Linked DNA regions of Xenopus tropicalis. The protein of the gene in region 7 interacts with the protein of the main gene of each other region in a biochemical or structural test. Links are inferred from orthologs where the notes say so. Each region holds a gene or a part of one and is shown on either strand. Other genes may lie near its edges.

The links.
Region 1: the proteins of gadd45a (region 7) and eef1a1 form a complex in vitro, tested with the Homo sapiens proteins (2 studies listed by BioGRID). The link is inferred for Xenopus tropicalis from reciprocal best matches to the Homo sapiens genes GADD45A and EEF1A1.
Region 2: the proteins of gadd45a (region 7) and cdkn1a form a complex in vitro, tested with the Homo sapiens proteins (3 studies listed by BioGRID). The link is inferred for Xenopus tropicalis from reciprocal best matches to the Homo sapiens genes GADD45A and CDKN1A.
Region 3: the proteins of gadd45a (region 7) and pcna form a complex in vitro, tested with the Homo sapiens proteins (4 studies listed by BioGRID, with this or other methods). The link is inferred for Xenopus tropicalis from reciprocal best matches to the Homo sapiens genes GADD45A and PCNA.
Region 4: the proteins of gadd45a (region 7) and npm1 form a complex in vitro, tested with the Homo sapiens proteins (2 studies listed by BioGRID). The link is inferred for Xenopus tropicalis from reciprocal best matches to the Homo sapiens genes GADD45A and NPM1.
Region 5: the proteins of gadd45a (region 7) and aurka form a complex in vitro, tested with the Homo sapiens proteins (2 studies listed by BioGRID). The link is inferred for Xenopus tropicalis from reciprocal best matches to the Homo sapiens genes GADD45A and AURKA.
Region 6: the proteins of gadd45a (region 7) and cdk1 form a complex in vitro, tested with the Homo sapiens proteins (5 studies listed by BioGRID). The link is inferred for Xenopus tropicalis from reciprocal best matches to the Homo sapiens genes GADD45A and CDK1.

Annotation. Positions count from the first base shown.
Region 1 is NC_030681.2:91,801,105-91,805,378, forward strand, and holds the start of eef1a1 (elongation factor 1-alpha 1), read left to right. Parts: upstream 1-1,474; 5' UTR 1,475-1,504; coding exon 1,505-1,648; intron 1,649-1,920; coding exon 1,921-2,100; intron 2,101-2,203; coding exon 2,204-2,500; intron 2,501-2,597; coding exon 2,598-2,748; intron 2,749-3,198; coding exon 3,199-3,455; intron 3,456-3,572; coding exon 3,573-3,807; intron 3,808-3,896; coding exon 3,897-4,021; 3' UTR 4,022-4,274. UniProt on the Homo sapiens protein: Translation elongation factor that catalyzes the GTP-dependent binding of aminoacyl-tRNA (aa-tRNA) to the A-site of ribosomes during the elongation phase of protein synthesis.
Region 2 is NC_030678.2:54,674,804-54,679,081, forward strand, and holds the start of cdkn1a (cyclin-dependent kinase inhibitor 1), read right to left. Parts: upstream 2,801-4,278; 5' UTR 2,673-2,800; coding exon of another isoform or gene 2,666-2,672; intron 1-2,665. UniProt on the Homo sapiens protein: Plays an important role in controlling cell cycle progression and DNA damage-induced G2 arrest. Involved in p53/TP53 mediated inhibition of cellular proliferation in response to DNA damage.
Region 3 is NC_030679.2:123,022,222-123,026,206, forward strand, and holds the start of pcna (proliferating cell nuclear antigen), read left to right. Parts: upstream 1-1,185; 5' UTR 1,186-1,302; coding exon 1,303-1,523; intron 1,524-2,583; coding exon 2,584-2,681; intron 2,682-3,466; coding exon 3,467-3,534; intron 3,535-3,895; coding exon 3,896-3,985. UniProt on the Homo sapiens protein: Auxiliary protein of DNA polymerase delta and epsilon, is involved in the control of eukaryotic DNA replication by increasing the polymerase's processibility during elongation of the leading strand.
Region 4 is NC_030679.2:20,070,074-20,073,573, forward strand, and holds part of npm1 (nucleophosmin), read left to right. Parts: intron 1-785; coding exon 786-829; intron 830-1,578; coding exon 1,579-1,657; intron 1,658-2,102; coding exon 2,103-2,192; intron 2,193-2,853; coding exon 2,854-2,964; intron 2,965-3,226; coding exon 3,227-3,301; intron 3,302-3,500. UniProt on the Homo sapiens protein: Involved in diverse cellular processes such as ribosome biogenesis, centrosome duplication, protein chaperoning, histone assembly, cell proliferation, and regulation of tumor suppressors p53/TP53 and ARF.
Region 5 is NC_030686.2:6,088,120-6,092,089, forward strand, and holds the start of aurka (aurora kinase A), read left to right. Parts: upstream 1-1,170; 5' UTR 1,171-1,225; intron 1,226-2,845; 5' UTR 2,846-2,854; coding exon 2,855-2,896; intron 2,897-3,331; coding exon 3,332-3,629; intron 3,630-3,970. UniProt on the Homo sapiens protein: Mitotic serine/threonine kinase that contributes to the regulation of cell cycle progression.
Region 6 is NC_030683.2:16,801,326-16,805,395, forward strand, and holds the start of cdk1 (cyclin-dependent kinase 1), read left to right. Parts: upstream 1-1,270; 5' UTR 1,271-1,336; exon of another isoform or gene 1,337-1,353; intron 1,354-2,392; 5' UTR 2,393-2,416; coding exon 2,417-2,453; intron 2,454-4,070. UniProt on the Homo sapiens protein: Plays a key role in the control of the eukaryotic cell cycle by modulating the centrosome cycle as well as mitotic onset; promotes G2-M transition via association with multiple interphase cyclins.
Region 7 is NC_030680.2:83,503,629-83,507,695, reverse strand, and holds the start of gadd45a (growth arrest and DNA damage-inducible protein GADD45 alpha), read left to right. Parts: upstream 1-1,267; 5' UTR 1,268-1,376; coding exon 1,377-1,420; intron 1,421-2,152; coding exon 2,153-2,254; intron 2,255-2,909; coding exon 2,910-3,123; intron 3,124-4,067. UniProt on the Homo sapiens protein: In T-cells, functions as a regulator of p38 MAPKs by inhibiting p88 phosphorylation and activity.

The DNA.
Region 1 (4,274 bases), on a different chromosome or scaffold from region 7:
TTCGTGATAACTCGCGCGTTTCGCTCAACAGCTGCGCCCGGAGCCGCCCTAGTGCTACTGGGAGTTGTAGTATACTAGAAGCTTACAGGCTGAATTTTCACTCAAGACCCCGCCTCTCACACTTTGGGAATTCTGGGCGCGATGATGTCACGATCAAGCCCCGCCCAGTAGAGGCAGCTATATAAAGGGTGGTTAGCGGCGGATTCGCTCTCTTCCTCACCGGGTCTGCGGCGAGTTTTAAGGTAAGTGGGTTGCGTTCAAGGGCCGGGTCGTGATTTTGAGATTTGCAGTGAAACCTGCAATTGGATGTGTGTGCTGTGTTCTGTTCCGTTGTTATTGTAGATAAATAGGTTTCCTCTGCCGTAGTTTATTTAACTTTTATGGAACCACGCGTGCATTTGTTACGGAGTTGCTTGGGGCCGTGGTCTCTTTCAGCTGTGTATTAGCGTATTTCTGGCAATTAGTGTTACCGTATTGTTACACTAGATATCTTGGCGGGAAGGGAACATGGGTGCTTAAAGTGGGCGCAAAATGAAGAACGGTGCCAAAGCAAGGCTTGCGGCCTAGTCCCAATCTGCGCTGCATCCTCTCCTATGTAAGCCATCCGCCTCCTCTCAATATATACTTGGCTTTAGGCGGATGTGGTTAATATTGCCGGTGCTGTATTATTCCAGACGGTAAATGCTTAAGGCTCGACAAGTGAACGTGGTTTGGGGAAGGAGCGAGAGAGCTGTGCGGATGGGTGGCGGCGCGCCTACATGGGATTCATTGTACGTAGTGCAGTTTAGACTGGTCAGGCGAACATAGTGTTTGTGGTGCCTGTAAGCGCTGAACTATAGCAGGACTGGGGCTATTGCCAGTGTCAGGGCCCGGCTGGCACAATGGCGCTAGTGCTGACGTGTATCACCCTCTCTCCCAGGCAGGCTCGGCGTGGCCGGTGTATCCGAGCCAGTGGGGGCGGCTTCACTCACTAAATGGCCGGCGTGCTACGGGTTACTGCTGGCCCTGCTTGAACGCGGGATAGCAGCTGCTTACTTATTGGGTTAAATGTTCTGTGTGGGCTCTGCTCTTTTCTATAGAAATGAAACGTATCTAAACCATTAGTCCTGTTTAGCGTTGCGTTCCCCCATCTGGTTGTTCCATAAAGATGGCGGCGGCTCTCAGCTGAAGGATTTTTTTTTCTCCACAAGATGGAGGCTGAGTCACAAGTGAGGAGACAAAAGAGCTGGGAGCGCTGCATGCAGGGCCTGACTCATACACCAGGGGGAGTACAGGCCTCGCTCTTGCCTTCTTCCTTTTATGTAATGAGGGATTTCAGGGTTTTTTTTCCAACTAGATATCTGTGCAAAGTTCTTGAATTGTGGGTGGGGCTGCTTGTGTCTCCAGCCCTTGGAACTGCTGAGTAATGCCTGCCATGGCTTGCTTTGATGTGACCTATATTTTTAGCTTTTTTTTTTTTTTTGATGTTTTTTAGTGTCCACCGCCAAACATCTAACAATCCACAATGGGAAAGGAAAAGACTCACATCAACATCGTCGTCATTGGACACGTAGATTCTGGAAAGTCCACAACAACTGGACATCTTATCTACAAATGTGGTGGTATCGACAAGAGAACCATCGAAAAGTTCGAGAAGGAAGCTGCTGAGGTAAATTTTGTTAACAATCGCACTTCTTGTGGTATTGCAGCAGTCTCACCCCCCCCCCCCCTTACTAAATATTTAGTCCTGCACATGTTTGTTTAGACAAGTCTTGCCTGTGCACTAATGTGTACTTGTATTTGGTTTGTATTAATAGCCACCTGCCTTGGGTGTTTGTGATAGTAGGGGGAGTATAAACATTGCAGTGTGTCAGGTCATTCTTGGCAGAAGCCTTGTAAGGGGTTTTTAATCATGTCATTGCTGAACTTTTCACCTAACAGATGGGCAAGGGCTCCTTCAAGTACGCCTGGGTCTTGGACAAACTGAAGGCCGAGCGTGAACGTGGTATCACCATTGACATCTCCCTGTGGAAATTTGAGACCAGCAAATATTATGTTACTATCATTGATGCTCCAGGACACAGAGACTTCATCAAGAACATGATCACTGGTACCTCTCAGGTAGGTTTTAAGTCCCAAGCAGCTTTGCTATTTATATCTAAAGTAGGTGAGGCAGGCTTGCTGTTAAGTGCACATGAGTAAAAATGTATGTTTTCTCTTGTAGGCTGACTGTGCTGTCCTGATTGTTGCTGCTGGTGTTGGTGAATTTGAAGCTGGTATCTCAAAGAACGGACAAACTCGTGAGCATGCCCTCCTTGCCTACACTCTGGGAGTAAAGCAACTGATCGTTGGTGTTAACAAAATGGATTCAACTGAACCCCCATACAGCCAGAAAAGATATGAGGAAATCGTTAAGGAAGTCAGCACATACATCAAGAAGATTGGTTACAACCCTGATACTGTTGCCTTTGTACCTATTTCTGGATGGAACGGTGACAACATGCTTGAGCCCAGCGCCAATGTAAGTACTGTGGCAGTTCACTTAAATGTCTACAGCCTGGCATACTCTCTGGTTAGTGTAACAGTATTTTGATGTATACAAATCTTGTTTTTTCTAGATGCCTTGGTTTAAGGGGTGGAAAATCTCACGTAAAGAGGGATCTGGCAGCGGAACTACCCTGCTGGAAGCTCTTGACTGCATTTTGCCACCAAGTCGCCCAACTGATAAGCCTCTGCGTCTGCCTCTGCAGGATGTCTACAAAATTGGCGGTAAGTAACACTTTTCCTATGTGTATGCTGGAATGTTGTTCGTGCTTTAGGTTTACTGGCCTACATGGTTTGTGGGGGAAACCAAGTTAAAAATCGTGCATCTGTTTAAAAAAACTTAGCAGCCTTTTTTTTTTTTTTTTTTTTTTGTACAGGTTAACTGCTTGTCTGAAATAATCCCTCCCCCCCCAACTGCAGTAACAAATTTGAAGTTCACCAGGCATGGATGTCCCTAGTTAACAGCTTTGATATATTACGTTACTGCTTTTTTAATGTCTAGTGAATAAAATATTGGCAGCAAAGAGCTCATAAATCTAATTTTAGCTTAGACACTCTAAACAAGTCTCCAGAAGGAAGACTAGTAATTGCCAACATGTACGTTTAGGCCTTGTTTTGGCAGTGCTGGGATTTAGTATGTTAAAGTATTCACACTAAAATGGCTGTTTCTTTCAGGTATTGGTACTGTACCAGTTGGTCGTGTGGAGACTGGTGTCCTTAAGCCAGGCATGGTGGTTACTTTTGCCCCTGTTAATGTAACAACTGAAGTTAAATCTGTTGAAATGCACCATGAAGCCCTTAGCGAGGCCATGCCCGGTGACAATGTTGGCTTTAACGTGAAAAACGTTTCTGTGAAGGACGTCCGTCGTGGCAACGTTGCTGGTGACAGCAAGAATGACCCACCAATGGAAGCTGGTACCTTTACAGCACAGGTATGCAAGATGGCTTATGGCTAAAGGAAGTGATATGGCTTTCCATAGCTGGCTATGGGGGCATTTAAATCGCTTTGCATAACTCTAAGATTGTTTTCTAAATGTCTGACTTAATAGGTTATCATCCTGAACCACCCAGGCCAGATTGGTGCTGGATATGCCCCTGTGTTGGATTGCCACACAGCTCACATTGCTTGCAAGTTTGCTGAGCTGAAGGAAAAGATTGATCGCCGTTCTGGTAAGAAACTGGAAGACAATCCCAAGTTCCTGAAGTCTGGTGATGCTGCCATTGTTGACATGATCCCAGGAAAGCCTATGTGCGTGGAGAGCTTCTCTGACTACCCCCCTCTTGGTAAGTCTTTTTCAAAATAACCTTTTTGCAGTCTTGTAAAATGCTACCCAGTAGGCCCTTAAGCTAATTATCCATTTATTTTTTTCAAGGTCGTTTTGCTGTCCGTGACATGAGGCAGACTGTTGCTGTAGGAGTCATCAAGGCGGTCGATAAGAAGGCTGCTGGAGCTGGCAAAGTCACAAAGTCTGCTCAGAAAGCACAGAAAGGCAAATGAATATTTCCAGCATCTCTCACCTCAGTCATAACCAGTGGTGGAGGATTGGTCTCAGAACTCTTTCTATCAATTGGCCATCAGAGTTTAATAGTCAAAGACTGGTTAATGATTACAATGCATCGCAAAAGCTTCAGAAGGAAAAAAATGCTCGTGGACACATTTGTTTGTGGCAGTTTTTAAGTTATTAGTGTTTTAAATCCAGTAATTTCTAAATGGAAGCAACTTGACCAAAATCTGTCACCAAATTGAGACC
Region 2 (4,278 bases), on a different chromosome or scaffold from region 7:
CAACTCGAAGTATGAACCATTACATTACGAAGGCAAGATCTGCTTTACCTACCTACCTTCTCACTATCACGTACATAGGGCTTGGATAAATATTTACCAATGTTGTTAACATATGAAAAAAAAAACCTTGGTCGTTGAGCAAGTGTTTAATATTATATATAAGGCTTGCTGTCTGCTAGTAAAGTCTGTACAGTGAATCAAAGTCATACTAAAGCTAAAGCTCTCTGGTCTATGGGAGCATGGCTGTACAAGAATTAACCCTTATATTACGTCTAGCCTAGTATTAGGGCAAGTGTTCGGGTGTGGTGATGTATTATTTTCCATAGATGTGATGTGTCTATGATCATTTCGATGATCTCATGCTGGTGCCAAATCATTCAATAAGTATGACCGTGAAAGCTGTCTAAACTGTGCACTTGTGCTCCCGCCTGCAAGTTATGGCACTATTAGACGCACACAGAGTGTGGTAAGTACAAAAATATGATAGTCAAACACCTAACATTAACTAATTTATAATACCACATTATAGCAAAGTGCTTGATCGATAGTTCAGTGCTGGATTTGACCCCCAAAATGTTTGGAGCACACAGATCATTCTGTTTCTTCAAATTATAACAGACAGTGCTGGATATTTTACAATCATGGTGCCTTAGTCTAATATGCACAGTGCCAGTTTGTTGACCCAGAAATTATTAATTAAACCCCCAACACATCAAGCTTCAGTAACAGCAATATAAATCAAGGTATAATAAAAGAAAACAAATGATATCCATTCTTTTAGTAGTGGGGTTGGTTTGCCAGCCCACTAACATTCTGCTGCCCCAAATCAATTTTCAATAATCCAGACTTGCAGAAAGAAATTTATATTCATAGAAAATATTGGAGGGAAACTCATCCTTGCATCACTTTATCCTAGGAGGGCGGCCACTTGGCAGGCATTTTAACAGTAAACATTACACTTCATGCCAATGTTATCAAGAGGAAATAAAGATAGCAGAGAAAAGGTACCAGTCCTGTGTCTGTGGCAGGTGCCCATCAAGTATTCAAAAGTTGCAAAAACATCAAACTCCTCACTGCGAAGCATCCATGTTAAATTACAATGCATTTATATAGATTGTAAGCTCTACGGGGCAGGGACCTCCTTCATCTTGTGTTTCTGACTCTTACTGCAACTGTACCTTGTATTTATTTGTATTTATTGTTGTACTTTGTATTTATCCATTATCTTTAACCCCCTGTTTGTAATAATGTATTCTACTGTACAGCGCTGCGTATACAAGTAGCGCTTTATGAATAAAGATATACATACATACATACATACATACATTTGTGATTTGTAGGCTCTTTACAGGTGCTAATAGGGAATGGTGGGAGATGCTGAATGCCTGGTGTTATGGGTGAGCCAGTACAGCAGGGGTTAACCTGTAGAGCCCATAACACTGGGATAAGCCTTAGCACTTCCAAGGAAATTGACTGATTATAAATATGCAAGAAATAAGGACTAATAAAAAAAAGCAATTGCTGATGAGAATACATGGGGTTTTTCTGAAGTGTCCAACCTTTCACCCTTTTTCTCTATCTTTGAAGTAAAAACTTCCACAGATGCTGGGAGTTGTAGTTCTGAAACAGCTGATGGGCACAGGTTGGAATGGTAATAAAAATGTTGCAGAAAACAAGCCATAAAGATGTTTAGTTCAGAAATGTTGCAAATAATCATGGTATATAAATGCCTCTTAGTTGGGTGAAGCAGTGTGATCCCAATGAGTGACAAGCTGTAGGTTACACTAAAGCCTATGGAGCTGTTCAGCCCAAGTAGTGCATCAGCAGGAGGAAGCTATGTCTGGACTAGTTCCACAGAAAGGCTGAGCCCATAGATCTATGTGGCCAGACACACACATCATAGCCTTTGTGATCCTAAGGGTGAAGACACATGGCAATTCTCAGTATTGTCTATGGCAGGGGATTTTCTGGCGTTTAGTAGCTGTGATAAAGTAGCTGCTACTGGCAGCTCTGTGTGTCTTCACCCTAAAGATTATTTTCTCTAGATTAAAAACGCAGTTATTACAACCTCATCGCAACAAAACTGAAGCTGCATCAATCGTCCCCACTTTTATTTGCAGTGACTTAGTTGCTAGGGTCAAGGAGTTGTAGAGGACGCTTGTGAATAGACAGGTAGTCAATGACAACTAGTAACCCACACACACAGTAATAATGCCCCGAGCTAGCAGCTGTAAGAAATAGGATCAGTGAGGTTAGCGGGGGGTGACAGGTGCCGTAACATTGTCACAGTAACGTCCAAAACAAACACAGGTACAACATTGAGCTCCCCGCAAAGCCGGACCATCCTCCTACCTCCTAGAGCGGTCCAACAAGCCCAGTGGCAGGGCACAAAGCGTCCCAATTGCGCATCCCAGCTACAAATACAGGTGCATCCGCGCAAAGTTGCCCTGCCTGCCATAACTGCATCCTTGCACACAGGGACAGACAGACGGGGATCACTGGCGCTACAGAGGTACATGCATAACAACTGGGTAAAGGCTGCAGCAACAAATCAAACAGCTATACAGCTTGAAAGACTATTGATAACGTAAATTCTATATAAACCGCAACTGGACAAACCAACCAAGTGGTTATTACTTGTAGAAGTCCCGTAGCATTTTCCTACCTTTCATTTGTTTTCATATGTCTGGCAAACAGCAGCGCAATATCCACGGGGATGGCACAACAAACAACCCGAGCGAAAGTCCCGGCTACATTCAATTATTACTACGCTCACTCTGCTTCTTAAATCCTACATTACGTCAGGAGCTGGAGTTCCCGAGAGCGAGAGGGCGCGGCAACATACGAGGGTGGGGTTATGGCTTAATGGGCGGGGGCTCAAGGAACCCGCTTAGACATCAGCCACGCCCTGTCTGCTTCAATCTTCCGAATAGGGAATATGAGTGTGGCGTTGAACTGTGGGAGTTGTAGTTTCGGCCCCTTTCACAACGAATATTTACGGTGTACATATTGGGGTGACTGTAATTACTGCTATATGGTAGAACTGTAAAGTTAGAGACTCTGCCATCAATTTGGTTGGCTGACGCCCCCACTGCCCTGTTAAGGAGAGAGTGTTAGTTGCGCATAGCTTTGCTAGGTTGCTTTTGCCGAATTGGTTTGTATGGCTGAGAGCGGGTAGGACTCTTTGAGAGAGGCTTTGATCAAAACATTTTGCTGCTGAAATGTGACGATAAAGCCACACTAAAGGACTAGGAAATTAATATTCACTTGGGGTTGGGTGCCAATTTGTTAGGCCCACCCCACACACACAAGAGAATATAGCTGCTATGTTGACTTACTCATTTAGCTGTGGGTGTTCAGTATAACATTTGGGTGACTATTAGCATGGTTGGGCAACAAATTAGATACCCATAATGATATTTGGATAAAATGGGACAAAAAGGACAATGTTATACTTACAGACTGATTCGAAATATAAATGAAGAAGCGCCCTTATACAGTGTATACCATTCGCATATTTCTCTACATATCAAAATACCATCTATAGCAGGAGTAATTTTCAACTATCAGAACTATTGTTACTACCCAAATAACTTCATCCAAACTATATAACAGTGCTTATGATATTGCTACCTGTAATGTTCCTTTGTTGTTATCTCACTGCTGAAAAATTGCATAAAGAGAGATAAAAAAAAAGAATTTGGGTGACTGTTGCAGGTTCGGGTTTGGGTGCGCTTGAGTGAATTGGCACTTCAGTCAAAAATGACTTTTCTTGTCTTTTAAAGGGGTAATTTACCTTTCTATTAATTTTTTAGTTTGGTGTAGACCAGGGGTCATCAACCTTTTTGACCCTTGAGTAACATTTAAATATAAAAAAAGTTGGGGGGCAACACATGCATGAAAAATGTTCCTGGGAGTGACCAAAAAAGGCTTTTATTGTCTGTTTTGTAGCCCCTGTGTGGATTGACAGACTACAGGAGACTCTGTTTGGTAGTAACCATGGTCTTTATGCCTCCAAAACTTGCCTCCAAGTTAGAAATTCAAGAATTAAGACCTGCTTTGAGGCCGCTGGGAGCAACATAAAAGGGTGTGGTGAGCAACATGTTGCTCCCAAGCCACTTGTTGGGGATCACTGCTGTAGACACTGTAGGCCATTTGCAGTTGGTTTTATGTGATTCTTCAGTTATTTAGCTTTTTGTTCATCAGCTCTCTCAGGTTTGGAATTTCAGCAGTTATTTGGTTGCTAAGGGTTGTTTACCATAGCAACCAGACTGGGTT
Region 3 (3,985 bases), on a different chromosome or scaffold from region 7:
AATACAAGACCTATATTCGTTCTGGTGACAGTCACAATATATTGGCTGTGCCTTGATCTTGCAGATGGTGCAATTTTTTGATCTTGTGGATGGTAGTACTCACAGAGCCTCAGGGGATTTTACTTAACCCTGAGTCCATTTGAGCTTCAACACTGGCTGTTCTGGGGCAGTAGAGCTTTTGTTTTTTGGCCTACAAACAAGGCTGGAACACTTAGGGGCTAATTCATTAAACCATGATTTTTGGGTGGTTAAAATCATGATTGGAAAAAATTCGGAGTAACCACAAAAATTCTTTTCTCGTACGAAAATATCGTGGTTGCGTTCCGAATTTTCGGATCTGAACGTTCGTAAACAGTGTGAAAACCTTTCTGGCTTTCATAGTCTTCCATAGGACTCAATGGCACAGATCCAACCTGGCCAAAAGATAGTAAGATAGTTTACCAAATTGAATTCCGAAATGGTTGTAGTCTTTCCAACTTTTTGGTAGAAGTTAACGAAAACCATGAAAAAGTCATGGAATTTTAACAAAATTATTGTGGACATTGTGAAAAGTTCTACAAATTAGAAAGAATAAGATTTTTTCTCAAAAACAAAAAGATTGTGGTTTAATGAATGGGCCCTATAATTTTGCAAGTATTCTGGCCTTCGCAGCATGCATTCCTATATTTATATCTCCACCATTAATTACATTGGCATCAAGCATTATTTTTACAGGCCAGGGCAGTAAAATTTTGGGCTCAGGTGGCAGCCCTGGGGTAGGGAGTAAAGGTGGTAGAGAGTGATTGGAGGTGTAATGGGGCATGATAGTAAAAAATGTAAAACATAGAACTAATATGTCTGCGGTTTAATATATAAAAAAATTAATGACCCCATCCTTTCTGCATTTTCAGGGCCCCAGTAACTAAATGTCCTTTGGGTCTGTTGTCACTGACCAGAACTAGTATAGCTAATCCAACAAATTACAGTTATTTATATTTATTTTTCATATTTATTAGGTGTAGAGTTCATAATGGGGCACAAGCAAAGCTTATATAACGGAGACCATGGTGTTTCAGTGACAGGGACTGACTGCACAAGGAAAGATATGAGGGGGCGGGTCATAATTTTGGCGCCTTACATTCGTATAGTGACATCACCACTATAATATAAGCGGCGGAAGGCCGGCTGGCGGGCTCATTTTGGCGCCGGAGCTTCAGTTGGGAGGAGGTACCACAGAGGTACTAGGGAATTCAGCTACTGAGCTCCGCCATCTGCACCCCCGGCACACTTCTCTCTTTCCCCCAGCTCCGTACAGCCGTCACCATGTTTGAAGCTCGCTTGGTGCAGGGTTCCATCCTGAAGAAAGTGCTGGAGGCCCTGAAGGACCTGATCGATGAGGCGTGCTGGGACATCACATCGAGCGGCATCAGCTTGCAGAGCATGGACTCCTCGCACGTCTCGTTGGTGCAGCTCACTCTGCGATCGGACGGCTTTGACACCTACAGGTGCGATCGCAATCAATCCATCGGCGTCAAGATGAGCAGGTAAGGAAGCTATGTGGGCGCTTAGTAAGTGCGCAGCACTGCGGAGATCACTAGTTGAAGGGACGGGCTAGTGCGGCAGGCTTAATGCGTCCAGACTTTACTATTGGGTACACGTAGCGCGATACACGCTCTCATTTTATTGTATTTGGCGCAAATATGTATTCCATACATACATATTCCCCCCCCCCTCTGTCATGGACTTGGCCGATCTACTCCCCCCCCCCCCGCCTCTGTCATGGACTTGTCCGTTCAAGTCTCAGTGATTGCGCGCGCAACCTGGCTTCCCGCGTGACGTCACATACGCGCCAACTTCAACAAAGCCGCCGGCTTGGCGGGAAACCGGCTCATTGTGCCAAGCTTCAGCAGTGCGGCCACTCTAATCCAAATGCCACAGGATAGTTGGAAAATAAGAATTTTATCAATGAACCGAAATAAAATTATTTTCCTTAGTGTTGCCTCACTTTGTCTAACACTTCCCCTACACTTCACTGAGGCCCACAGCTGCTCAGTGTCTTTTCTTTAATGGGCCCTCATGGGTTCTATGTATATCTTTATAAAGCGCTACTTATGTACTCAGCGCTGTACAGTAAAATACATTAATACAAATGGGGTTAAGATAATAGATACATACAAAGTATAACAATAAATACAAGATACAGCTGCAATAAGTTAAGAGTCAAAGAGACAAGAGAATGGAGGTCCCTGCCCCATATAGCTTACAATCTATATAAAAAGGTAAAAGGAATACGCTGCTGTATGCATCTGGAGTGTTGGAAAGCTCCTTCAATGGGGATTTTTTTGTGCCGCCTTGCTTAGACAGGGCCCCTGGTTTACTCGGATTGTAAGCTCTACGGGGCAGGGACCTCCTTCCTATATATATATATATATATCTTGTCCTCCCTGTGTGTAAGCTGCGTACCCTTGTGGTGCTTTATAAATAAAGTTATACATACATACATTGGAGTAAAATGCCCAGGTTGCTTACCAAGATGTCTACCTTTGCCAGTCTCCTGTTTGGCATTATATATAACTATATATCTATCTTTACTTTTTTTCACAGTATGTCTAAGATCTTGAAGTGTGCTGCAAGTGAAGATATCATTACTCTGAGGGCAGAAGACAATGCTGATACAGTTACAATGGTGTTTGAGTCGCCAAGTGAGTATTTGCAACATTACACTTTGGTTTTCATACCCTTCATGCCAATAAGTAAATTCTTTATTATAGTAGCTTGGTGCTTATTTCATTGGCTTGGAAGGCAGGGCTAAAACAGTTATAGGTAATGGAACTTTTTAATGGATTTTTATAACTATAGTATCTTGATTAATTTGTGCTAAAATAGAAACAAGAAATGCTTGAATTACTGATTATACTGTACCAGCCTTCAAAGTTGTACAAAGCAGGTAGCCATCTTGGCTCTTTTTGTGGCCTTGTAAAATTTCCTTCTGACATCAAACCATGTTAAATTCTGATCCAGAAGGCACTGGTCACTACTGATAATAAATTAAATTAAATTAGGCTTATGTTTTAAATTAGTGTGCATATACTGTATATTTGTGCAGTTTAGAAGTGAAGTTTAGGGGTTGTTGTAAATCATTAAAAAAAAAAAAAAACTAGGTTTCTGTCATAGCTATTACAGGGCATTATTAAATTCTAATGCTAATTGCACTGGTTTTTAAGGTGCCAGTGATAAGAATCTGAAATACTATTCAGCCTTATCTTGTGACGTTTATATTCCATATATGTACAGTATATTGTCGGTCCCTAAGCACAGAGCATGGGCAGTGAATCAGCAGAAAAGATGTGGAAGCTATTTGAGGGCACATATCTTCCCTGCTAAAGGGCCGTGTTTGCCTTGGGCTGGTACAGAACCTCAAACAGTGAAGCATTTCTGCCCAACGTTTTTGTTCTGCTTAAGTTTAACTTAAATGTTTTTAATTTAGATCAAGAGAAAGTTTCTGACTATGAAATGAAGCTAATGGACCTTGATGTGGAGCAGCTGGGCATTCCTGTAAGTATATTTTTTTAATGTTTAAGTTGTTGCTGATTTTTGTCTGCTTACAAAACAGATTCGCTAGGATCACTGTTCAAAACGTAACTGGACACTTTTTGATTGTCTATTAGTTATTGCAAAATTTAAACCCAAAGCAGTGTACACTCAGTTTGTACACTTCAGTTGTTTTGGTTTTTATAGTTCCAGTCTTGGGGTTTCACAAAGTTCTAAGGGGGTAATATACATGCTGCTTGTAGAAACTCCCCTTCCTCTGTACCCATGGCAGTTATGTGACCTCTTATGCCAGTCTAAAGTAACCCTGTCTAATGCAGTTAATTTTGGATTGCACTCTGCTAAATTGTCTGGTTTCTCATGACAGGAACAAGAGTACAGCTGTGTAATAAAGATGCCATCTGGTGAATTTGCACGCATCTGCAGAGATCTAAGCCAGATTGGTGACGCAGTTGTT
Region 4 (3,500 bases), on a different chromosome or scaffold from region 7:
CCCTCTTTTAGTGCCTTTGAGGGGGGGGAACTGGAGATGGGAGCTGACCAATTCAGTGCAGTGCTTAAATGCTGACTAACTTGTACTAAGAAAAGAAGAAAACGCATTGCTTCTGCTAAAAAAAATGATCCTTTATTAAAGGAACAGTAACACTAAAAATGAAAGTGTTTTAAAGTAATTAGAATATAATGTGGTGTTGCCCTGCACTGGTAAAATTAGTGTTGGCTACAGAGACTCTACTATAGGTTTATATAAATTAAGCTGCTGTGTAGCCATGGGGGCAGCCATTAAAGCTGGAAAAAGGGAGAAAAGGCACAGGTTACATAGCAGATAACAGATAAGCTCTGTAGAATATAATGGGGTTTTATCTGTTATCTGCTAACTTACCTGTGCCTTTTCTCATTTGAATGGCTGCCCCCATAGCTACACAGCAGCTTTGTTTATATAAACTATAGTTGTCCTTCTAAGGCAAACACACCAGTTGTACCAATGCAGGGCAACAGTATATTATATTGTAATTACATTTATACACTGTCAGATTTTGGTGTTACTGTTCCTTTAAGTTAGCATGAGTGGCTCCTGCGAAGCAAACGGCCTGGTGTGTTTCGGGAAAAATAATCATGGGATAGACCTATGGTTTAAGGGTCTTTCCTGAAAAGTGTCAGGCAGTAGCCACTCAACTTAATAAAGTTTAATCAAATGTATTTTAGTAGGAGTGCAGTTTTTTCTTGTGTGGTGGGTTTTTTTGTTGTCTGTGATGTCTAAATTCTTGTATGTATTTGCAGAAAAAAACACGTCTGGAGGAAGAGGACGAGGCTGATTCAGACGAGTATGTATATAGTGTGCTTTTCTTTATGCTTTGAGAGGAATTGCACTTCTTCAGGCACTGTCCTTTTCCACTGTTGGTTGCTATCGTTCTTTCCCTTAGTTTGTGTAATATTTTAGCTGTTGCAGAACAGCTCTCCTGGCAAAGCAATGTCCCCAAAGCTAACTAAACAGATTGCTCTGTGTGACAATCACCCCACTGAGAGGTTTGAATGTTTTTTTAAAAAAAAACAAAAAACCCCAGTGATTGTAATTGCTAACCTGAAACCCAGGGCTGGTACTCTTGTTAGGAGAAAACCGCACCGACCCGGGGTAGCTGCAAAGCCATGATCCTTTACCTTCTGTCTTCACGCCGCTTGCACAGTAAAGTGAAAAGCCGAACTTTATAACAAAACTGCTTTTTTACTCTACTGCACATGTGCCAGCCTCAGGATTCCCCAGGACAGGCAAGAGATTGAAAAGGATTGCTCATTTGCAGCTACTCTGGGCTGGTGATTTCTCCTAACAGGAGCACCAACCTGGGGTATAAAGTAAGCGATTCTCTGAATAATGAAATGAGATTTAAAGTTCTTATAAGATTTTCAAATAAACATTTATTACAACAAGAGGTAAGATAGAAGAGGAGAGAGGGTGAGCCTGGGGGGAGAAAGGCAGACATGCACCAAGCTCCTGTTGCAGCAAGGCTTCCCAGATTTTGTCAAGTGTACCCATAATAACCATACAGTAATTCACCTGCTTTACCTTTTTATTTAGGGATGATGATGATGATGACGATGATGAGGAGGAGGACGACGAAGATGAGGATGAAGAGGATGAAACACCTGTTAAAAAGGTAACTTGGTGACATTTGTATTTTTTTTCACTTTTGTTAACTGTTACAATGCAGTTACATACAAATATACTAACTGCAACCGGCTGTGACATCTGACATGCAAAAATCCACCAATCACAGGGTAGTACCTCTGTGTGACTCTCCCCCCCCCCCCCCCCAAACCATTTCATATTTGTTGTGCTGACTAGTTTACAACTGTAAAATGGGTAGTTCACCATCTAGACATTTTGTTATGGTTTCCACTGTTTTCTAATAGTTTGTCAGAACATGTTTGTTGTTTTTTAGTTTTGATTCTTGTGGGGTGGGGTCATTGATTCTGTAAACTTATCTAATTTGTTTAGTTTGAGCAAAAGGCAGGTTTTGTACAGGTATCAGACAGCTTCAGCATGAATAAGTATCCAGTTCTTGTGTCTTAGGTATTTTTAAATTTGCATTTCCTTTATAGACTGACTTGCCTACAAAACCAAAGGCAGCTCAAAAGTTAAATCACAATGGGAAGGCTTCTGAATTACCCACACCACTAAAGACTCCAAAAGTAAGTGGGGGGTGCCTAAACTGGGGAGCTGGTAAATCTAATTTAGACTGGAATCCCTGAGAAGCTTGCAATCAGGGTTTGGGTTGAAACAAAGTTACAAGTTTAAGTTTTACTTACACAAGGTCATTTTAAAAGTACCCACAGATCTTGATTATGCACTTTAAGCAATGTTGAAGCTGCTTCTACTTGATAACTAGCAGAGGTAGGGCCCCTGGTGTGCAACCCACCAGGAAACAGCAGTATCTACTGTTGTCTGTCCTGTACCATCTCTGATCCCCTCCAATATCAGATTTTAGATCCAGGGCCTTCTGTCTTCCTGTTTGTACCCAGGTAACTTGTGTGCCCACTACATAAACAGCCAAGTGTACAGAGTTCTATATCGTGTTCAGCCAAATTTTATTTTATTTATTTTTAAAGCAGTTGTCCTAAGATATGTATTCAAAAGTTCCCCCCAGGAAATGCCCCTAGAACTAAACATTGAGCTTGGGGAAGGCCTTTGAAACTCTGGTAAATGTGCCAAACCATATTACATTACAAAATTAAATATGCAGCCATTTCATGATTTTTAAAGTTGCTTAAAGTTTTGAAGATTGGGTGGAGTTCCCCTTTAAATGTAAATATTCTGATTTTCTGTTAAAAGTTTTTTTTTTTTTCTCCTTAGACTCCAGAGCAGAAAGGAAAGCAGGATACAAAGCCTCAAACACCAAAGACACCAAAAACGCCTTTGTCTTTTGATGAAATAAAAGCAAAGATGCAAACTTCATTAGAAAAGGTAATCTAAGTATGAATATAATTTTAATCTGAGCCAATATCAAGCTATCCTGAGGATAAGAAATTTACTTTGTTTTTTCACATCGGCCAAAAAGCTTAAACGGTTCAGTGTAAACATGCCTAACATTAATTCAGAACACTACATCAAGTCAATGGTTACTAACTGGTAATGGGTTAGAGACCTGCAAAGGAAATAGTAGTGTTCTGGCTATTTTAGACATTTTAAGATGTTAAAATGTGCATTCTCACTTTTGTTTCCTCAGGGCACTGTTCTTCCTAAAGTGGAAGTAAAGTTTGCAAACTATGTGAAGAATTGCTTTAGGACAGAAAATCAGAAGGTAAATTTTAAGGCTTTCGGTGCTTAAGAATTTGTATGGTTTATGGTAAATGCTAAAGACCCTTCAGCATGAATTGCATCACTAATGCAGCCTTACACAGGCAGAATTTATGAATTGATTGAATGCTGTAATTGTTAAACTGAGCTCTAGTCTGAAATGTATATTCAGTAATCTGAGTTAAGATGCAGTGTTCAGGCTG
Region 5 (3,970 bases), on a different chromosome or scaffold from region 7:
AAACCCAGTGAGAATGAGGAATGAATGGATATTGGGGAGTTGTATCAGGAGTCAGAACCAGCAGTGCAGGGAAGGGAAAGGGACAGACACAGTGACAGTTACACATAACTATAAACCCAGTGAGAATGAGGGATGAATGGATATTGGGGAGTTGTATCAGGAGTCAGAACCAGCAGTGCAGGGAAGGGAAAGGGACAGACACAGTGACAGTTACACATAACTATAAACCCAGTGAGAATGAGGAATGAATGGATATTGGGGAGTTGTATCAGGAGTCAGAACCAGCAGTGCAGGGAAGGGAAAGGGACAGACACAGTGACAGTTACACATAACTATAAACCCAGTGAGAATGAGGGATGAATGGGTATTGGGGAGTTGTATCAGGAGTCAGAACCAGCAGTGCAGGGAAGGGAAAGGGACAGACACAGTGACAGTTACACATAACTATAAACCCAGTGAGAATGAGGAATGAATGGGTATTGGGGAGTTGTATCAGGAGTCAGAACCAGCAGTGCAGGGAAGGGAAAGGGACAGACACAGTGACAGTTACACATAACTATAAACCCAGTGAGAATGAGGAATGAATGGGTATTGGGGAGTTGTATCAGGAGTCAGAACCAGCAGTGCAGGGAAGGGACCGATGCACCGGAGCCATTGGGCAGCCATATTGCTGTGTGTATGGGATATAATAGCGGGCAGCACATAGTGACTGGCAGAGAGGGAGCGGGCAGGATACTCACCGAGCAGAAAGGCTTCCGGTTCCTGGGCGGGGCGGGGCTATGCCGGTAAGTGCGCACAGATACTCAGTAAAGGCCCAGATAAAACTCTTTCAAACCAGAAAGCGCTCCCAGACCCGACTATACGTCATACAGGCGCGACAGGCCAGCGTCTAACACGTCACACACCAACGCGCAGGCGCCTTGCGCGTCAAGCTCTTGTCACTCGGATACCTAACGGATCTCCGCTCTCCACCAATCAAAGCGAGGCAGCTGACCGCCTGCAGCCAATCAGCGCTCGGAGCGGGTTAAAGGGATTTAAAAGCGGGCGATTTGAATCGGAGTGGGCTGTGACGGTTGGAGGAAGTGAGGCGAGTGTTCTGCCTGACGGGAAGCGGAGCTGTCGGTTTTGCGTCTGCCGCTAACCAGTGTCTGTCCGTGGCTTCAGCTGCTGCAATCCGGTCTGTGTGAGAGCTGCTAGAGTCCCGGCCCGCACATTCGGCTGCCAGGTGTGTGTGTGTGACTGGGCCAATGGGGAGCTTTGTTTCATATGGTTCGGGAGTGTTGTGTGAACTGAGTTATATATTCTGGGCTGTAACAGCTGCACCCTCTGTGCTTCAGCCATTGGTTATCTTTATGGGCCAATGAAACTGCATCTCCCAGTGGCACTGGCTCATGTGGGGCCCATACAGGCCTTAGTACTGCCCCCCCCCATATGTGTTTGTGTGGGGCCCATACAGGCCTTAGTATTGCCCCCCCCCCCCCCCCCATGTGTTTGTGTGGGGCCCATACAGGCCTTAGTATTTAGTGTTAATCCATGACTGAGTTTTGGGAGTTGGTAATGTGTGGGATTTTGGATTTGGGCTCCCAGTCTGGAGATGATTGCCCCCCCCCCCCCCAGCAGGAAAAAGGGTGATCCTTATCGTTCCAGGGGTACCCAGGGCACAAATAAGCACTCACCCCAAATCCCCCCCTAACTGGCCTTCAGGCTGGGCCCCCTTAGCCCATAACAAGGTTACAGATATATAGAAACATTGGGGTAACAGTCACCCTGCTATAGTTCCAGGGGTACCCAGGGCACAAATAAGCACTCACCCCAAATCCCCCCCCTAACTGGCCTTCAGGCTGGGCCCCCTTAGCCCATAACAAGGTTACAGATATATAGAAACATTGGGGTAACAGTCACCCTGCTATAGTTCCAGGGGTACCCAGGGCACAAATAAGCACTCACCCCAAATCCCCCCCTAACTGGCCTTCAGGCTGGGCCCCCTTAGCCCATAACAAGGTTACAGATATATAGAAACATTGGGGTAACAGTCACCCTGCTATAGTTCCAGGGGTACCCAGGGCACAAATAAGCACTCACCCCAAATCCCCCCCCCTAACTGGCCTTCAGGCTGGGCCCCCTTAGCCCATAACAAGGTTACAGATATATAGAAACATTGGGGTAACAGTCACCCCGCTATAGTTCCAGGGGTACCCAGGGCACAAATAAGCACTCACCCCAAATCCCCCCTAACTGGCCTTCAGGCTGGGCCCCCTTAGCCCATAACAAGGTTACAGATATATAGAAACATTGGGGTAACAGTCACCCCGCTATAGTTCCAGGGTACCCAGGGCACAAATAAGCACTCACCCCAAATCCCCCCTAACTGGCCTTCAGGCTGGGCCCCCTTAGCCCATAACAAGGTTACAGATATATAGAAACATTGGGGTAACAGTCACCCTGCTATAGTTCCAGGGGTACCCAGGGCACAAATAAGCACTCACCCCAAATCCCCCCCCTAACTGGCCTTCAGGCTGGGCCCCCTTAGCCCATAACAAGGTTACAGATATATAGAAACATTGGGGTAACAGTCACCCCGCTATAGTTCCAGGGGTACCCAGGGCACAAATAAGCACTCACCCCAAATCCCCCCCTAACTGGCCTTCAGGCTGGGCCCCCTTAGCCCATAACAAGGTTACAGATATATAGAAACATTGGGGTAACAGTCACCCCGCTATAGTTCCAGGGGTACCATGGGCCTAATAAGATTACTCACTCACCCCAAATCTCTCTAAGCATAAGAACTTGCAATGTTTGCTCGGTTTCTATTGACGGTTTATATAACTGAATATGTTGGTGACAGGCACATATAATGGAACGGGCTGTTAAAGAGAATCTTCCTTCTAATGTCAAGGTAAGTCTTTATCTGCCCAAGTTACTAAGCACTTGGGGAGCCACTATTTCTTTTTGTATTTAAGTTCCCCTGCGCCTCAGTAGGTGATTATCTTTATCGCTGTGAGATGTAAACTGTTGAGATGTGTAGTTCAGTAACTCGATCACACTGGAAGGCAGAAGGAGGGAATACTTGCCCTTGCGCCGGTAACACGACGTTCCTCTGCCTGCGCCACAAAATGCTCAGTTTAATGTCTGTAAAAGTCTTTTGGGTTTCTCTCTTTAATGTTATGCATTCTCCCTGGTAATAAAGAACTGTCAGACTACTGACCATAGTCTGTGCTAAGAAATTCCCAGCATCCTTAGCTGCCCAGGGAAGTTGTTTCCCAGAGATCTTTACATCCATGGTTTGGCATTTGATTATTCTTACTAAGGTTTCTCTTTTTCTTTACTGTAGGTTTTCCACCCCACAATGGAGGGTCCCAAACGTATCCCAGTTACCCAGCCTCCGAGCACCCAGGTTAGACCTCCTGGGACTGCCGTCTCTGCCCAGAGGATATTGGGTCCCTCCAATGTGCCACAGCGAGTCGTGTCTCAGGCTCAGAAACCTGTTATGTCCGCTCAGAAACCTGTTATGTCCACTCAGAAGCCAATGACTCAGGGGCCACTGAGGCCAGTAACTCATGGGCATCAGGCTGGCAAACCACAGGGACCAAATGAGAATCGTACTCCACAGCAGACCAGCCATTCCTCCAGTAAGTGCCCTGGGACTTGAGAGCTTACTGCAATAGCCTCTGGCCGGTGGCTGTGTTCTTCGGGCCGCGTTGCCTCTGGCCGGTGGCTGTGTGCTTCGGGCCGCGTTGCCTCTGGCCGGTGGCTGTGTGCTTTGGGCCGCGTTGCCTCTGGCCGGTGGCTGTGTGCTTTGGGCCGCGTTGCCTCTGGCCGGTGGCTGTGTGCTTTGGGCCGCGTTGCCTCTGGCCGGTGGCTGTGTGCTTTGGGCCGCGTTGCCTCTGGCCGGTGGCTGTGTGCTTTGGGCCGCGTTGCCTCTGGCCGGTGGCTGTGTGCTTTGGGCCGCGTTGCCTCTGGCCGGTGGCTG
Region 6 (4,070 bases), on a different chromosome or scaffold from region 7:
TAAGCACAATTCAGCAGGAACAGCCCCCTAAGTTTGCTCATAGCCTGTACAGAGAGATACCATAAAACTATGGCAGCATAGGGATTCCCCTGTACTAAGCACAATTCAGCAGGAACAGCCCCCTAAGTTTGCTCATAGCCTGTACAGAGAGATACCATAAAACTATGGCAGCATAGGGATTCCCCTGTACTAAGCACAATTCAGCAGGAACAGCCCCTGCTGTTGTTAGTGTGAATTCCTGTGGTCCTCTTTACAGCTAATAAAGTGATATTCACTGGAGCCCACCAGTGCTCCAGTGAATGGCCAGATGGAAACCCTAGCTACTATTTCTTGAGTACAGTGACGCTATTGTATCCCACAGCCCTGGAGATCTTTAGCACTGTCCCATATAGGGTGAATTGGCCCTAACCTGCAAAATGTTGACCTGCACCCACATCTCGCCCTGCCCACGACCTGCACCCAACCCAGCAATGTTCTCCCAACCCATGGGAGAACCCTGATCACTAATCAGAATGGCCAAGGGGGTGCATGTGGGCACACAGGAATTATATTTTGTAACACATATGCCTACTCTGCTGCCCTCCGGCTCTTGCTGAAGCCCTCTAATAGCCAAATGCTTTGTGGGGGTTGCTGGGAGTTGTAGTTTACTGAGGTTTCAGGTCAGACACACAGAGCTACTAGTAGCAGCTACTTGCCACAGCTACTAAAATAGACAATGCAGATCATTTATTGATAATTATTTCTATATATATATATATATATATATATATATGTGTGTGTGTGTTTTAGCAGAGGCAATTCTCAGTATTGTCTATGGCAGTGTATTTTCTGGTATATAGTACCCATGACAAAGTAGCTCCTACTAGTAGCTCTGTGTGTCTCCACCCTAAGGGACCCCCTTTTACCTTATGTTTTACTACTTTATTTGTTATTGAGTGAAATCCCTGTGCCGCTATAGACACTGCACTTCCCGGATATTAGATTAAATCAGTATACAAAGCTAGCCGCCCGACCACTTCTGTTCCTAGCCGAGTCACGCAAACAGGTCTCTAGGATTTTATCCACATCACGTCCCCGCCCGCTGCTGTTTTAGCTACCCGCCCTTCCCAGCTTCCTTCGCGCCGTCACCGCTGCCTGATTCTTATTGGCCGCTTTGAATATCCACGGCCGCAGTGATTGGGTTAGGCTTGGACAGCGCTTTGCGCGGTTGGTTTGAAATCTCTCTGTTAGGCAAGCTGCAGCTTTAGCAGAAGGAAGCTGAGGTAGGCGAGGGGGAAAGGCCTCTTGGGCTCTGGGAGTTAAACGGGGGGCTTTGTTCTGCCGGAGGGTTTGCTGGGTAAGCTGCTGGGGCAGGTAAGGGGGGAAAGGGCTGTAGGGGGTACTTTTCTGCATTTTGCTTGCCCTGGCTGCAGAGTACGTGCTATGGGTGCCGAGTATCACCCTACACAGGGACTCAGGGGTCGGAGATGGACGCACCTGTCTGATTACAGCCATTTAATTGCCCCCTGTGTAATCATGCAGGGGCTGTCACTCATTAGATCTGCCCCCTCAGGCCCTTTAAATCTCCAGACATTTCAATTCCATCGGCTGAGCTTGCAGACTGCATTGATTGTGTTTGTGGGGGATGCTGGGACTTGTAGTCCATATCTGGGCACCTAAGCTTAAGTGCTATTGCTGTAGGGCTGGCTAGTAACTAGTTAAGGTGCAGAAAAGGGCTGGGGGAGTCACAACTGCCAGCCATAGACTTACAGAGCTGCTAGTTATAGTTCAACAACAGCAGGATTATGAGACTCTAACTGCAACTGCTTAATCATATCTGGGGATAGAGGTGCAGTTCAGCAGCAGGTTTGACAGCTTTATATTAGGCACCCAGCATAGGGCTGTTCTGCTGCCTGTTACTATGGGGTTGGTGCCATAATGTATATTGGGTTACTAAGGCGGCAGGGGGGTAGGAAGCCAGGGTCCCATTGTAATGTGATGGGGACAGGGCATAATAGTGACCAGACTGGAAACAAACAGAGGTGCAGTGTAAGGCAAGGCTGCCGGGGATTGGTCACGATGAAACGTTCGAATGATGCACCGAACAGCAGTATGGCAGCTGCCGCAGCTTAAAGGGCTATTGTACAGTAGCAGATGTATATTATACTGTATAAAGCACAGGGGCAGCTGTCACGTATGTGTAGGGCACCAGAAATGCTGCTTATTCTGATTAGAACCCAGCCACCGAGGGGCGCCGCTTAACTACAGTTTGTATATCACTAGGACTGTAATGGCTGCTTCTGTTTGTTTTACTAGTACAAATATATATCTATAGGCTCAGACAGCGCTTTAGTTATGTGTTTGTTTTTCTGATATCCCTGAAACGAGTGATCTCTATTTCTCCTCTGTGCAGGAATCCAGCCTTGAGGAACCAGCCATGGACGAGTACACTAAAATAGAAAAGATCGGAGAGGGTAAGTACAGGGGAATTCTGTTATGATTGTTGTGCTGCACTTTTCTCCTTGGGGGGGGGGGAACTCTGTTAATTATTCTTCTGCAGTTCGGACAGTTAAAGGGACAGTTAAAGCCTTGATGTGCGAGGCTGGGGGTCCTCAAACCAGTTTGCCTATTGATGTGCTTTACAATCTGCAAGGGGCACAGCTCTGTAGTTATGTAGGGAATTTGGCATATACATGGCCAGTCTATACCAGATTTACTCAGTGTCAGGGAGATCAATGGCATTAAAGGGAAACTAAAGCCACATTAGTTTGTACTAAAGCAGAGGCCTGCAGTGCCCTTACTCAGCTATAGAACTGCAGCCCCCTGCTCTAGTTTCTCTATCTCTGCACTAGTACAATCCAACAAAGGCCCCTGTTCATCCCCTTATTACCCTCTTTGTCTAGATTGCCTAGCTATAAAGAGAAGAATCGCCCAATATCCTGATGCACTCAATATGTACTAAGCTATATACCGGGTCAACCCAAAAGGTGTGGGAACCTCCCAGGGTCATATACAGAAAATGGATATAAATGGGCATTTTCCTTGCCCATTTCTCAAAGTGCTGCCAAGGAAGCCTGAAAGGGCGAAATACACACTGGGCTTTTTTCATGGGACATATGGAATCTAAATTTATTTTGCCAATGATGTTGGTGAGAAATAATTAGGGATCTATGTCCAGCCTGAACAACATGCATTCTGAGCATATTTGGTGCCAACCAGGGTGCCCAGCTGGCTCATTTTTTACATTCGGGGGTTGTGACGTGATCTCTAACTATGTAGTCCATGATTTATTTTAATTGTAGGTGTGTGTTTTTTGTATATTCCTTGCCTTGTCTGGGTAAAGCTCCTACAGTTCATGGGTTTCTGTCCCCCCCACTCTCCATTTTCTGCATTGCCTTGTATCTGTACTTGGCTTGAAAGCGTACTGGCACTTCAGGCCCAAAGGAAGGGCGCTGGGCTAGGGGGCTTACACAGCAGGAAGTGTAGGAACAGCAGTTGCCCTTTACTTCCTAATCTCCTGATGCACCATAGCAGCTTGCCCTGTTCCCCCAAATTGAATGCTAACCATAGTTAGGGTATGGGACCTGTTATCCAGAATGCTCGGGACCTGAGGTTTTCCGGATAAGGGCCTATCCATGACTTAAATCTGCTAAAAATCATTTAAATATTAAATAAACCCAATACTAGATACTGTTTTATTATTATTACAGAGAAAAGGGAATCATTTAACCATGAAATAAACCCAATAGGGATGTTCTGCCCCCAATAAGGGGTAATTATATCTTAGTTGGGATCAAGTACAGGTACTGTTTTATTATTACAGAGAAAAGGGAATCATTTAACCATTAAATAAACCCAATAGGGCTGTTCTGCCCCCAATAAGGGGTAATTATATCTTAGTTGGGATCAAGTACAGGTACTGTTTTATTATTACAGAGAAAAAGGAATCATTTAACCATGAAATAAACCCAATAGGGCTGTTCTGCCCCCAATAAGGGGTAATTATATCTTAGTTGGGATCAAGTACAGGTACTGTTTTCTTATTACAGAGAAAAGGGAATCATTTAACCATGAAATAAACCCAATAGGGC
Region 7 (4,067 bases):
AAGGACATAAGCACAGGGGGCAGTTTTACTTTGAAATACAACATTTAGTGTGTTAATGACAAGGGTTAAGCAGTGCAGCATTACTGTTACACTATGGGACAGCATTTGCAAGACCTCCCTGCCAGTCACATGCACAACCTAAAGCAATAAATGATTTGTGCATGACTGTATGAGCTGCAGCTATACTAGCATTTACTGTTTACAGACAGAACCATAGCAAAGTATGCATCTCTATAGTTATATAAACCTCTTAATTTTACTAATAATAATATTACAGAGGACAAAGACATTTATGGGAACATCAGGAGCAAAATCTGTGGAATCAATTTAAAAAAGGGAAAAAACACCCATTGAAATGCAAAAAAAAGGTAAAATGCAGGAAAATCCTTGAAATAAGGGTATGTAAAATTGAGGTTTCACTGTATTCTTTTAATGATGCCTCAGACCAGTGCTTTCCAGGTCTTTGCTGTGACATTATAATGTTATACCTGAACAGTAGGGGTAGATTGATGTCATATAAAGATGCTTATATAAGGACCCCCAGTGGGGTGAGTCTCCATTGGGATAGTTATCATGTAAGGTGATATCTAATATGCTAGCAATAAAACGTTATCATTCGTAATTTACCATTTAAAGTGAAAAAGAACAAATAACGTGAAGAAAGCTTTGTACCATTAATGAGACAAATGTAAGACTGAAAAGATAGTCCCTTGCAAGTTTTCCCTTTGACAGCTGAATGCATCTATAAAGATAATTGTACACGTTATTACAGCTAAACACTACTACAAATGCAATGGCCGGACAGGGCTAGCTAGCGCTTACATTCACTGTGGCAAACAAGGCTTATTTTCTTCTGTAATGTAATGTGTTTGAAATGATACCTTTATTTTAAAACAAAGACATGCAATTGTTAAAGTTTTCTGTAACAGTCGGTAAGGTTCCAATATTGTCAGCAGTGAAAGGGTTATTTACACAATGTTCAGCACCTGGTAACTGTATGGAGCCAATCACAGGGCAGGCCGCTAAGTAAGCCCCGCCCCGCACTCGCTGTACTCTCGGTTCCCAGAGTAGCAGAAGAGGTCAAGTCTGTGGCCGGCAGCCTGATTTACATGAGCCAATCAGCATCGCGATAGGCAAATGAGGGGAGCTGTGGTTGGTTGGGTGTATGCGTATGAAGCCGGGTAGAGAAGGCGTGAGAGCAGAGTGTGTAGAGTCAGCAATTGGAGAACACGGGGCAGCGGCGCGCTACTGTATCAGGCAGCAGTTCCGAGAACTGAGGTGAAACTTTCTAGTTCCCAGGAAGAGCCTTGCTGGCCGCAAAATCCACTACAAATCTGCAGCGCTACGGAGCAGTGCAACCCGTACAGCAATATAATATGACTCTGGAGGAGCAGCTGTCTGGGGATCAGAGCATTGGAAAGTAAGATCTCTTGCGCCACAGAGCGGGTTATAGTGCGGATGGGGCAGTCTGTGTTCGTGCGGATGGGGCAGTCTGTGTTCGTGTGTTGCTGCTGTTGCGAGGACTTGCCTGGGTCAGAAAGGGGTTTGTGGGGTCAGCCAAAAGCATTGCGCAAAATGGTAGTTTGGTGTGAACAGATGCCTTCCATGCACCCATCTGCGCTGTGGGCACTTGCACCTCCTCTTGGGGTCGGTGGGTGCTACATCACAACGGCCCATGTAATCATTTTGTTACAACGACCAATAGCATAGCCGCCCCGGTTGCCCCTTACTGCAGCAGGGATCATTTTGTCATGAGGTGCATTCGCCCTATGGCCCCTTGCCCCTGGGCTTCTGTTCCTTTTAAACTGTGGCCTTCCTGCTTGTATAGGACTTCAGCTCCCAGCATCCAGCACAGCCCAGTGCTCCTTAGTGGCTTCTGCAATGGCCTTTCAAATGGCTCACTTTGGGACTGAGTTTTTGTTCAAAAGTGTAAATCTGTGATAAATGTACTCTCTGTAAGTAGCTATATGTAATGTGTGTGTGTGTGCACATGTCTGTGCCTGAGAGGTATTCTAAGTGCCTGTTGCTGCAGAACTTACTCAGACATAGTGCCTGACTCATGCATGGTTAGGATGCTGTTGGGAATAGCTCAGGAGTCACATTTGCATGCTTTGCTCAGATGCTCATGAGTGTTTCTTGTGTTATTCTGCAGGATGGAGTCAGTGGGAAACGCACTGGAGGAAGTGCTCTGCAAGGCCAAACTGCAGAGGACCATCACTATTGGGGTGTACGAAGCTGCAAAACTTCTCAATGTGTATGTAGGCTTTTTTTGTTACTTCCCCTTAAAGTCAACTTTAACATTATGGTTGTCACAGTGCACAAATCAAACTTAAAAATAAAAAAATCAAGGCTGCGTTTACCTTTTAGATTAAGTTTTAGTAATATATTCTGAGACTATTTGCATTGGCTCTTTATCTGTTATTGTTTGTGGTTTTTGAAGTATTTAGCTGTTTGCTCAGCTTTCTGGTTGCTAGGGTCCAATTTACCTTGACAACCAGGCAGTGGTTTGAATGAGAGACTGAAATATGAATAGGAGAAGGCATGAATGGAATACAAAGGTAATAAAAGCAACAATAACATTGTAGGTTTACAGAGCAATAGTGATTTTGGCTGCTGGGATCAGTGTCCCCCAATTACAAGATAGCATTTTAAATTGCAAGCTAGAAGAGTAGGAAGGGAAATTAATTGTAAAAAATGAGGAGTATTTGAAAAGTTGGCAAGAATAAGGCATGCTCTGACAAAAAAAAAAGTTAGATCAAAGGTGAATTGCCCCCATTAATTCCATTTAGCTTAGCGTTTGGAAACGCAGATTTATATACATACATTAATGGCGTTTACTAATCAATATTGCGCTGGGTTTGAAAAGAGGCTGACTTTAAATGTTTTCTCTGCACCTCTTGTTTTCTCAGGGACCCAGACAACGTTGTGCTCTGTTTGTTGGCTACTGACGATACCTACGATCAGGATATCGCTTTACAGATCCACTTCACCCTGATCCAGGCATTTTGCTGTGAGAATGACATCAACATCCTGAGAGTGAGCAACATGAGCCGGCTAGCTGAGATCCTGGGCGGCTCTGACAAGCCTGGGGAACCTGCTGATCTGCATTGTATTCTAATCAACGTAGGTAACACTCTCATGTGGAGTCTGCCAGGAGGGGCTTGGGTGGGTTCTGCTGTTTGCATACCAAGACAATAACGAGGGGCTTTGTAAATGGGATACTGTCACTCCTTTAAATTTACCCTGCTTATTGTTATTTGAATGCTGAATAACTGATTGTTTAGTAATACCATAGTGCTATGTTGGTCATTACATTCCCAGGTAAATAGTCATGCTTCCTCCTATTATGGTGAACTGCTGCACGGAGAAAAGTAAACACCATATCCAAATGCATTTATAATTATAGGTTACTTTCCATTTGTTCCCCGTAAAGTATGAGGGCATAGCTTATATGCACAGAATGTTCCTTCTCTGCATACTTCTCATAAGTACAAGCGGGAGCAGTCCCAGTTTCTAGCTCAGTGAATGCAGTGTGTACAGGATGTTGTTGCATTGCTCCTGTTGCCTCTGGGGAGACTTTCTGTATGGGCAGGGACAGCTCTTATATAGAACGGCAGCACAGGAATGTTCTGTCCACATAGTAATCCATGCCTTACTGTTATACAGTCTCAGACATAATACAGTCTTTTATTGAGCATTCTCCATTACATTTAATTTGTATAGTTGCCTTGGCATTGAACTCGTGCCACAACTTTGTTTTATATTTAAGATATACAGTACATGAAACCAGATCTATGTCTGTTGGATGTCCAAGGCTAAAACCACATTCTCATTTATCTTCAACATCAATGTGGCACTTTGAAGACTAAGTTGTTTTAAATGCCAAAGCCGCAGTTATAAAGGCTGCACCTGTGTTCCTTACAGTTATAGAACTGCTGCCATACACCTACACATTTTGTTGGCAGATTATGCCTTTACCACACCTACATTGCAGAACCCGGTGCTTGCATTTCCCCTGATCACTATAGCAAAGGAACAATTGGTGCTCAGAGGGAATTGTAATCTGG